Linked DNA regions of Macaca fascicularis. The protein of the gene in region 1 binds, or shares a complex with, the protein of each later gene. Links are inferred from orthologs where the notes say so. Each region holds a gene or a part of one and is shown in the gene's direction. Other genes may lie near its edges.

Region 1 (3,997 bases):
GTGGAACCGGCGGAACGACATGGGGGAGACGCTGCTGCACCGAGCCTGCATCGAGGGCCAGCTGCGCCGCGTCCAGGACCTCGTGAGGCAGGTGGGTCCTGCTCTGGGACACGGGACAGGCTGCCCAGCATGGAGGAGCTGTGGGTTTGTGCCAGATCCCCTAAATCTCTCTCTCAACCTCCTCATCTTCAAAATGGGGCTCCTTAGCATGGTGGCACTTGCCTGTGGTCCTAGAGGCAGAAGGATCACTTGCTCCTGGGAGATTGAGGCTGCAGTGAGTCGTGATTATGCCACTGCACTCCAGCCTGGGCAACAGAGTGAGACCCTGTTTCAAAAAAATTTAAAAAGCAGAGCCTGAGCAGAGTGGCTTATGCCTGTAATCCCAGCACTTTGGGATGGCAAGGCAGGCAGATCACATGAGCCCAGGAGTTCGAGACCAGCCTGGGCAACCTGGCAAGACCTTGTCTCTACAAGAAATTTTAAAATTAGCTGGATGTGGTGGCGTGTGCCTGTAGTCCCAGCTACTTGGGAGGCTGAGGCAGGAGAATCGCTTGAACCTAGGAGGTGGAGGTTGCAGTGAGATGAGATTGTGCCACTGCACTCCAGCCTGGGTGAACGAGACTCCGTCTCAAAAATAAAAAGCACAAAAAATGCGGTGCCCAGGCCGAGCGCAGTGGTTCATGCCTGTAATCCCAGCACTTTGGGAGGCCGAGGTAAGCAGATCACGAGGTCAGGAGCTCGAGACCAGCCAGGCCAACATAGTGAAACCCTGTCTATACTAAAAATACAAAAATTAGCTGAGTGTGGTGATGCACGCCTGTAGTCCCAGCTACTCAGGAGGGTGAGATGGGGGAATTGCTTGAACCCAGGAGGTTGCAGTGAGCCAAGACCACACCATTGCACTCCAGCCTGGGTAACAGAGTGAGACTCCCTCTCAAAAAAAAAAATGGGGTGCCCGCTGTGTGGTACGCATCTGTGTTGCAGCTAAGTTGGTCAGCCTGGCCAGGATGGGGGCTAGCCCCTGGGCTGAAACCTGGGCACCTTCCCACCCCACCTGCCTCATGCCCCTGCAATTTGGGTGCACCGTCTGCCCACAAGGGGACCGGGCAGGCACAGAGGTTGGAGGATATGCTGTGGCTGGTCCACCTGTCTCAGGGGGAAGCATGTCCTTCACTGGTGACACCTGGGCCAGAGGAAGAGAGGGCAGGGCCACGGGACTTGCTCTGGGCTCTAAGACTGAGGCCCTGGGCCCAGCTCAGGCTGCAGAGCTCATGGGACTGGGGCCAAGCTGTGACGTACACAGGGCCAGGCTCCTTCCTGTCCTTGGTCACAGGGCCACCCCCTGAACCCTCGGGACTACTGTGGCTGGACGCCTCTGCACGAGGCCTGCAACTACGGGCATCTAGGTGAGCAAGGGACAGGAGCCTGGCGCACCTCGGTGGACACGTGGGGCAAAGAGTCAGTCCTTGGGGGGCATCAGGAGCTGGGCTCACATCTCCTGGTCTGTAGAAATTGTCCGCTTCCTGCTGGATCACGGGGCCGCAGTGGACGACCCGGGTGGCCAGGGCTGCGAAGGCATCACCCCCCTGCATGATGCCCTCAACTGTGGCCACTTTGAGGTGGCTGAGCTGCTGCTTGAACGGGGGGCGTCCGTCACCCTCCGCACTCGAAAGGTGAGCCTGGTGGGGCAGAGGGCAAAGGTGAGGGTATGGGGGCTGCTGTGCTCCTGTTCAACTGATACCACACAGGGCCTCAGCCCGCTGGAGACGCTGCAGCAGTGGGTGAAGCTGTACCGCAGGGACCTGGACCTGGAGACACGGCAGAAGGCCAGGGCCATGGAAATGCTGCTCCAGGCAGCCGCCTCAGGCCAAGGCAAGCAGGGCCTCCCGCGTCCCTAGGGTTGCTATGCCTACCCTGAGAGTCCCCGGGCCCTGATTTCGGGAGATGCTCATTCACAGGTGGAATGGGAGGTGCCGGGCCCCTGCCTCAACACGGATTCTCTCTTCCACAGATCCCCACAGCTCCCAGGACTCCCTCACCATCCCAAGTAGCCTTCTGTTTGACCCTGAGACCTCTCCTCCTCTGAGCCCCTGCCCAAAACCCCCCTCTAATAGCACTAGACCCCCAGAGGCCTCTCAGGCCCGTGCCAGGGTCTCCCCAGGGCAGGCAGCACCAGCCGTGGCCAGGCCTCGGAGGAGCAGGCATGGGCCAGCCAGCAGCAGCAGTTCGGAAGGTGAGGACAGCACAGGCCCCCCGCGGCTGTCCCAGAAGAGGCCTCGGTGCTTGGCCACAGCACAACAGGTGGCAGCCCGGACGCCTGGCCCTGCCAGCAACAGGGAAGCAGCCGCAGCCAGCAACAGCCGGGCAGCCTACCAGGCAGCCATCCGGGGTGTGGGCAGTGCTCAGAGCCGGCTGGGGCCTCACCCACCGCGGGGCCAGAGCAAAGCCCTTGCCCCCCAGGCAGCGCTCATCCCGGAGGAGGAGTGCCTGGCTGGAGACTGGCTGGAGCTGGACACGCCCCTGACCCGCAGCCGCCGGCCCCGCCCCCAGGGCACTGGGGACAGCCGCAGGCCTAGTAGTACCTCCGGGTCGGACAGTGAGGAGAGCAGGCCCCGTGCCCGAGCCAAGCAGGTCCGCCTGACCTGCGTGCAGAGTTGCAGTGCACCGGTCAAGGCAGGGCCCAGCAGCCTGTCTTCAGAACCCCCAGGAAGCCCCAGCACCGCCAGGGTCTCAGAGCCCAGTGGGGACAGCTCTGCGGCAGGCCAGCCCTTGGTGGGTGTGCAGAGCTGGAGCAGAGCCCTCTCCTCACTTGGGGCAGGCAGGTGTGGGGTGGAGCCCACTGTGGCTCCTGACTCAGCCCTGCTGCCTTCACCTGCCAGGGTCTGGCCATGCCACCTCCCATCCGGGTTCGAGTTCAAGTTCAGGATCATCTTTTCCTTATCCCTGTCCCACACAGGTGAGACGTCGCCTGCCCTACCCTGCAGCCCACCTGTGCAGCTCCATGCCAGGGTGCTCATGTTTGCACATCAGGGTGGGGAGGGTGACGAGGACTCCCTGGTGTGTTCCTGGAGGACCCTGTGGCTCCCAGGAATGGCAGAGGGGCTGGTGGTGTGCTGGGCTGCAGGGAGAGGAGGGGCCGGCTACCTGGGAGTGGGAGAAGCGGCTGAGGGGGCTTTTGGCCCTGGGCAGGGATGGCGGGTTCCTGGGGCTTCACCCCAGCTGTGCGCAGGCAGCAGCAGCAGCGCCTCTGTCCCTGCAGCAGTGAGACCCACTCTGTGGCCTGGCTGGCCGAGCAGGCGGCCCAGCGCTACTACCAGACCTGTGGGCTGCTGCCCAGGCTCACCCTACGGAAAGAAGGGGCCCTGCTGGCCCCACAGGACCCCATCCCCGATGTGCTGCAGAGCAATGATGAGGTGAGCCGCGGGAGCCAGGGCCTTAGGCACCGGGAGCCCCCAGGTGACTCATGACGGTGCCTTCCAGGTGTTGGCTGAGGTAACTTCGTGGGACCTGCCTCCGTTGACCGACCGCTACCGCAGGGCCTGCCAGAGCCTGGGGCAAGGTGAGAGCCAGGAGAGCTGCAGTTTCTGGGTGAGGCCGTGCAAGGGGATTGGGCACACAGGCTCCACCAGCCCAGTTCGTTCCTGGACCTCGGGTGTTTCGGGGTACACCTCCCCCAGCCTGGTGGGTGCTGTGTCCTGCGCTTGGAAGTATGGATGGCAGGGAGAGGACAGCCCTCAGCCCCCATGAGCTGCTGATGGGGAGATGGTAAAAAGCAGCCAAAAGCCTGGAAAGTCAAGCCCAAGGAGGAGAGCCTCACGTGGGCTGGGAGCTGCTGGAGAAGCTTCCCAGAAAGCTTGTCCCAGGGGGCGTGGAATCTGGCGCTGACTGGTGGAGCTTAGGGTGCTGCAGACCCACATCGGCCCCCACGGCCTCACAGTGCTAGACCCACAGGCATGTGCGAGTGGGCGCTGCAGCATGTCCAGTGGGTGACCCCTGG
Region 2 (4,441 bases), on another chromosome or scaffold:
GACCTCTCCAGGTCAAGTGATCCTCCCACCTCAATCTCCCTAAGTAGTTGGCAGTACAGACGAGCATCACCACGCCCGGCTAATTTTTGTATTTTTTTGTGGAGACGAGGGACAGGGTTTCAACATGTTGCCCAGGCTGGTCTGGAACTCCTGGTGTCAAGGGATCCACCCACCTCAGCCTCCCAAAGCCACTGTGCCTGCCCTGGCCTGGAGTTTTCTTGTAAGAAGTGGTGTGTGTGTGTGTGTGTGTGTGTGTGTGTGTGTGTGGAGAGAGAGAGAGAGAGAGAGAGAGAGAGAGAGAGAGAGAGAAGGGGGGAGGCTTAACCAAAGATTCTGAGTACTATGATAAATACAGAGATACTCAAATTTTCTTCTTGAGTTTTGAGTTTCTGTCTTTTAAGGAATTTGTCCATTTCACCTATGTTTATTGGTATAAAAATGTTCATAATGTTCTTTTAATATCCTTGTCCTTTTAATGAGTAAATTTCATAGTGATGAAACCTTTTTAATTCCTGATACTGATAATATGTTTATTTTATCAGTCTGGGTAGAGGGTTTATCAATTATATTGCTCTTTTTAAAAAACAACTTTTGGTTGCATGTATTTCCTTCCATTTATTTCAACTATTTATTATTTCATTCATTTTGCTTGTTTTGGTTTCAATATGCTGGTGATTTTTTTCTAGTTACTTAAGACAAAAGTTTATTGAGTTGAGTTCTTTCTTCTTTTTAATGTAACCAGGTACTATTACAAATTTTAATGTTTTCGTTTTAATTGAAAGTATTTTCTAATTTTCCTGTGATTTTTCCTGATTCATAGGTTAGTCACAAGTATGATTCTTAATCTCCAAAATTAGAGTTTTTCAGTTATCTATTTTTTTATTTCTAGTTTAACGCCATTATGATCAGACTATATACTTTGTACGATTTAAGTCCTTTTAAAGTTGATGACGTTTGTTTTATGGCTCGGAATGTGGTCTCGCTTAGTGAATGTTTCATGTGCACTTGCCAAGAGTGTGTATTCTGCTATTGTTGGGTTGGTCACCTATAAACGTCAATTAGGTCAAGTCGGTTAATAGGGCTTTCCAAGTTTTCCATATCCATACTAACTTTCTGTCTACTTGTTCCATCAGTTACAGAGAAAATTCACTGTTGCACTTGCCTGCCTCACAGTCCGTGGACAAAAGGCATCCTGCATTCTAACAAGAGTTGCTGGCCCCAGAGCGGGAAGAGGGGACGGCGCGACTGTAGGTGTGAACCAGGCACTCACTTCGCACTCACTGGAGTAAATCTCTTCCCTTTAGCCAGAGGATAAACCCGTAGTCCTTAAATCCTCCTCTCCTCCGCCTCAGCAGCAGTTCCGTTTTTTTTTTTTTTTTTTTTACCAGGCCCCTCCTTCCAGTCGAACGCACCAATTAAAGGTACAAAAAAAAAAAAAAAAAAAAAGTTTATCTGTACCTTGTCCCGGGTTGACTGACTCTCGCGAGAATTCGTGGAGCTCCGACTGTTTCCGCGCAGATATCGCGAGGCGATTGGTAGCCGGGGGAGGGCTGCGCCGTGGCCCCGCCTTTCCGGAGCGCGGGCGCGCGGTGGCGGGAATTTCGCTTGTTTGCGGTTTAGACCCCACAGATTCCTAGTGGTGGTATGGGTCACAGGAGGTAGATTTCGGGAGCTGGAAGTGTGAGCAGGTACGACAGGCACCTCGGGTAACCGACGCACCGGGTCCTTGTTGCAGCCGGGTGCGCGGGATACTGGCACCCAGCCTTCTCCGCCCGGGTGCTGCCGGGCATGGGCCTGGTGGGTCTCGCCTCCTTGAAGGGTTGAGGTTGGCTCTAGGGACTGGTTTCCTGGTTTCCACCCCGAGCCGGGGAGGGAGCGTTCTCCACCTTGCTGCTAGGAAACGGGCGGAGAGTGGTTTAGAAACCTTGCGGAGGGCGAAGTTCTAGGCGAGCCCGGGACGCTCTGTTCTGCAGACATTTCTTTGCTTTTCACCTTGTCCTGGGCTGCACAGTCCGACCTAGTGGGCTGATTTTGAAGTCCCTGCCACAGCCAGTTGGTTGTGCATTTTGTCTTAAGTTCTGGCAGCCTTGAGGGGCGGAGCGGCAGGGGAGGATTGGGAATTTGGCTTCTGGGTTTGTTCGTTTTTCCTTGCTGCTGGCGGACGTCCTGGGAACTTTCTGAAGTAACCCCCAGTCTCTCGGCCCCCACCTACAGGAATTTCTTCACACCTTCTCTTTGGAGCCCTTAATGATACGACGAACCCCAAACATTTCAGAACATGAAGTAAACAATGGAAAACTGTTCTGCCGCATCGACGTTCCTGACTGACAGTTTAGAGCTGGAGCTGGGCACAGAATGGTGCAAACCTCCTTACTTTTCTTGTGCTGTTGACAACAGAGGAGAAGGAAAACATTTTTCTGGAGAATCCTACCTTTGCAGCGGAGCCCTTAAGCGGTAGGTAAAGCTCAGAGACATTTTCCCTCATCTGATTATTCGCCAGTTTTTTAGGAATGTTAGTTACTTCAGCCCATTTAACTTGGGTGTTCACCAAATCATGTTTTACAAATCAGCTTAGTATATCATAAGGGTACAAATGATTATCAGTTCTGCTGCTGGCTTCTTGGTAAGGGCATATCTAAAGCATTTGGGGTATTAGGGAAAACTTCCTTGGTAACTGATGTGCCCTTACTGTAGGGAGCTGGGCGCTAATTTTTCTTTTACTTAAAGTGAATTCCTAATTGTCTGAGCCTTTTGAAATGGTATTTCCTTCTAAAGGGTGTGATAATATTCTAGAGCTTTCCAGTAATTTTTAAGAAAGACAAACATTTTTTTTATTGCCCCGTTCCTTTTAATTCTACCTATTTTGCTTCGGGCAGGTACATACATATTACAGTAAAACTGCTGTTCTTGAAATATTTTGGTAATACCTGCTGAGGCAGTTTCAGTCAGGAAACTTTTTGTTGACTTTATAGTTGTACGTTGTGAGAGACCTTAAATAGAATACCCAACTTCATTAATTGGATACTGTTCTCCAGACAAGGCTCAGAGTAACTGTTAGCAGTTTCAACAATTAAATGTCCCCTCGGAGGATAAAATTCTACAACTGAAGACTACTGGTGAAGACAGGCAGAAATATGTGTTTTAGAACCCGTGTTGATTTTTCCTCTTAACTTACATTACACTTTAGTTGTACATTTTATCAATATAGAAGATTGACATTTTAATACAGTCTAGCTATTGTAATCTTGAATGTGTAAAGTACCAAGGCATTTTCTGACTTTTTATACATGTCATGTATAATATGGATTCAAATAATGTAAAGGTATGGTACTTAGTTTACTTTTTAATGGGATTAAAACATAATTTTCATTTCAGATTGATTTTGAATCTTGATCCTTTACCAACTAATTTTGAAGAAGACACCTTAGAAATATTTGGCATTCAGTGGGTTACTGAAACAGCATTAGTGAATTCATCTAGAGAGCTCTTTCATTTATTCAGGTATTTCTTCGTTTTAACTTTCTGTGAGTGTAGGTGTTGTTCACTTGTGTAAATTACATTGTTGGGTGGCTTCTAATACTGATACTGCAAAAGACCAGGAGAATTGTGCAGGTTGCTCACTTGATTATCTTACCAGTAATGGTAATCAAGCAGCAACACCTGATGAATAATGGTTTTAATGAGTTGTGTTTTATTTTCAGAATCTTTATTCTTTGCATTTGACTTCATGTATTGACAAATATTTAAGGCTTTGAACTATGATTTTGGAAGAAAATTAAAATACTTTTGTTGTTCAATAGCCATAGTGTTTCAGTGATCTTTAGAGTATGATCTTTCCAAATAAATAGTTTAGATTGTGTAATAGAAATATTAATTCTCTATTTGGACAACATTAAAAATTTTTTTAATGAAAAAATTTAAGCATACACAAAATAATATAATGAACATCCATATACCCTCCTTCAGTTGCAGTAAACAACAACTTTTTATTACATTTCCTTCATATGTCTTGTCTCCTCTTCTTTTGATTCTTTTGACTGACTTGTAAGCAAATCCTAGGTATCATGTCATTTCACCCATAAATACTTGAGTATGAATTTCTTAAAAATATGGGCTTTTTAAAAACGATGAGGACAGCTAGGCACGGTGGCTCATGCTTGTAATCCCAGCACTTTGGGAGGCCGAGGCGGGCAGACCACGAGGTTGGGAGTTTGAGACCAGCCTGACCAACATGGTGAAACCCCTTCCCTACTAAAAATACAAAAATTACCTGGGCGTTGTGATGCGCGCCTGTAGTCCCAGCTACTCGGGAGGCTGAGGCAGGAGAATTGTTGGAACCTGGGAGGCGAAGCCTGCGGTGATTCGAGATTGCCCACTGCACTCCAGCCTGAGCGACAGAGCGAGACTCCGTCTCAAAAAAAAAAAAAAAAAAAAACTCTAT

Evidence for each region. Proteins that work in one complex are often made in the same cells at the same time.
Region 2: TONSL (region 1) and MMS22L share a complex: the UniProt entries of both Homo sapiens proteins name them as parts of the MMS22L-TONSL complex. The link is inferred for Macaca fascicularis from reciprocal best matches to the Homo sapiens genes TONSL and MMS22L.

Annotation. Positions count from the first base shown.
Region 1 is NC_088382.1:154,144,992-154,148,988, reverse strand, and holds part of TONSL (tonsoku-like protein), read left to right. Parts: intron 1-1; coding exon 2-91; intron 92-1,333; coding exon 1,334-1,406; intron 1,407-1,509; coding exon 1,510-1,673; intron 1,674-1,748; coding exon 1,749-1,872; intron 1,873-2,011; coding exon 2,012-2,772; intron 2,773-2,879; coding exon 2,880-2,956; intron 2,957-3,259; coding exon 3,260-3,413; intron 3,414-3,480; coding exon 3,481-3,559; intron 3,560-3,997. UniProt on the Homo sapiens protein: Component of the MMS22L-TONSL complex, a complex that promotes homologous recombination-mediated repair of double-strand breaks (DSBs) at stalled or collapsed replication forks.
Region 2 is NC_088378.1:78,032,542-78,036,982, forward strand, and holds the start of MMS22L (protein MMS22-like), read left to right. Parts: upstream 1-1,565; 5' UTR 1,566-1,688; intron 1,689-2,214; 5' UTR 2,215-2,290; coding exon 2,291-2,454; intron 2,455-3,375; coding exon 3,376-3,501; intron 3,502-4,441. UniProt on the Homo sapiens protein: Component of the MMS22L-TONSL complex, a complex that promotes homologous recombination-mediated repair of double-strand breaks (DSBs) at stalled or collapsed replication forks.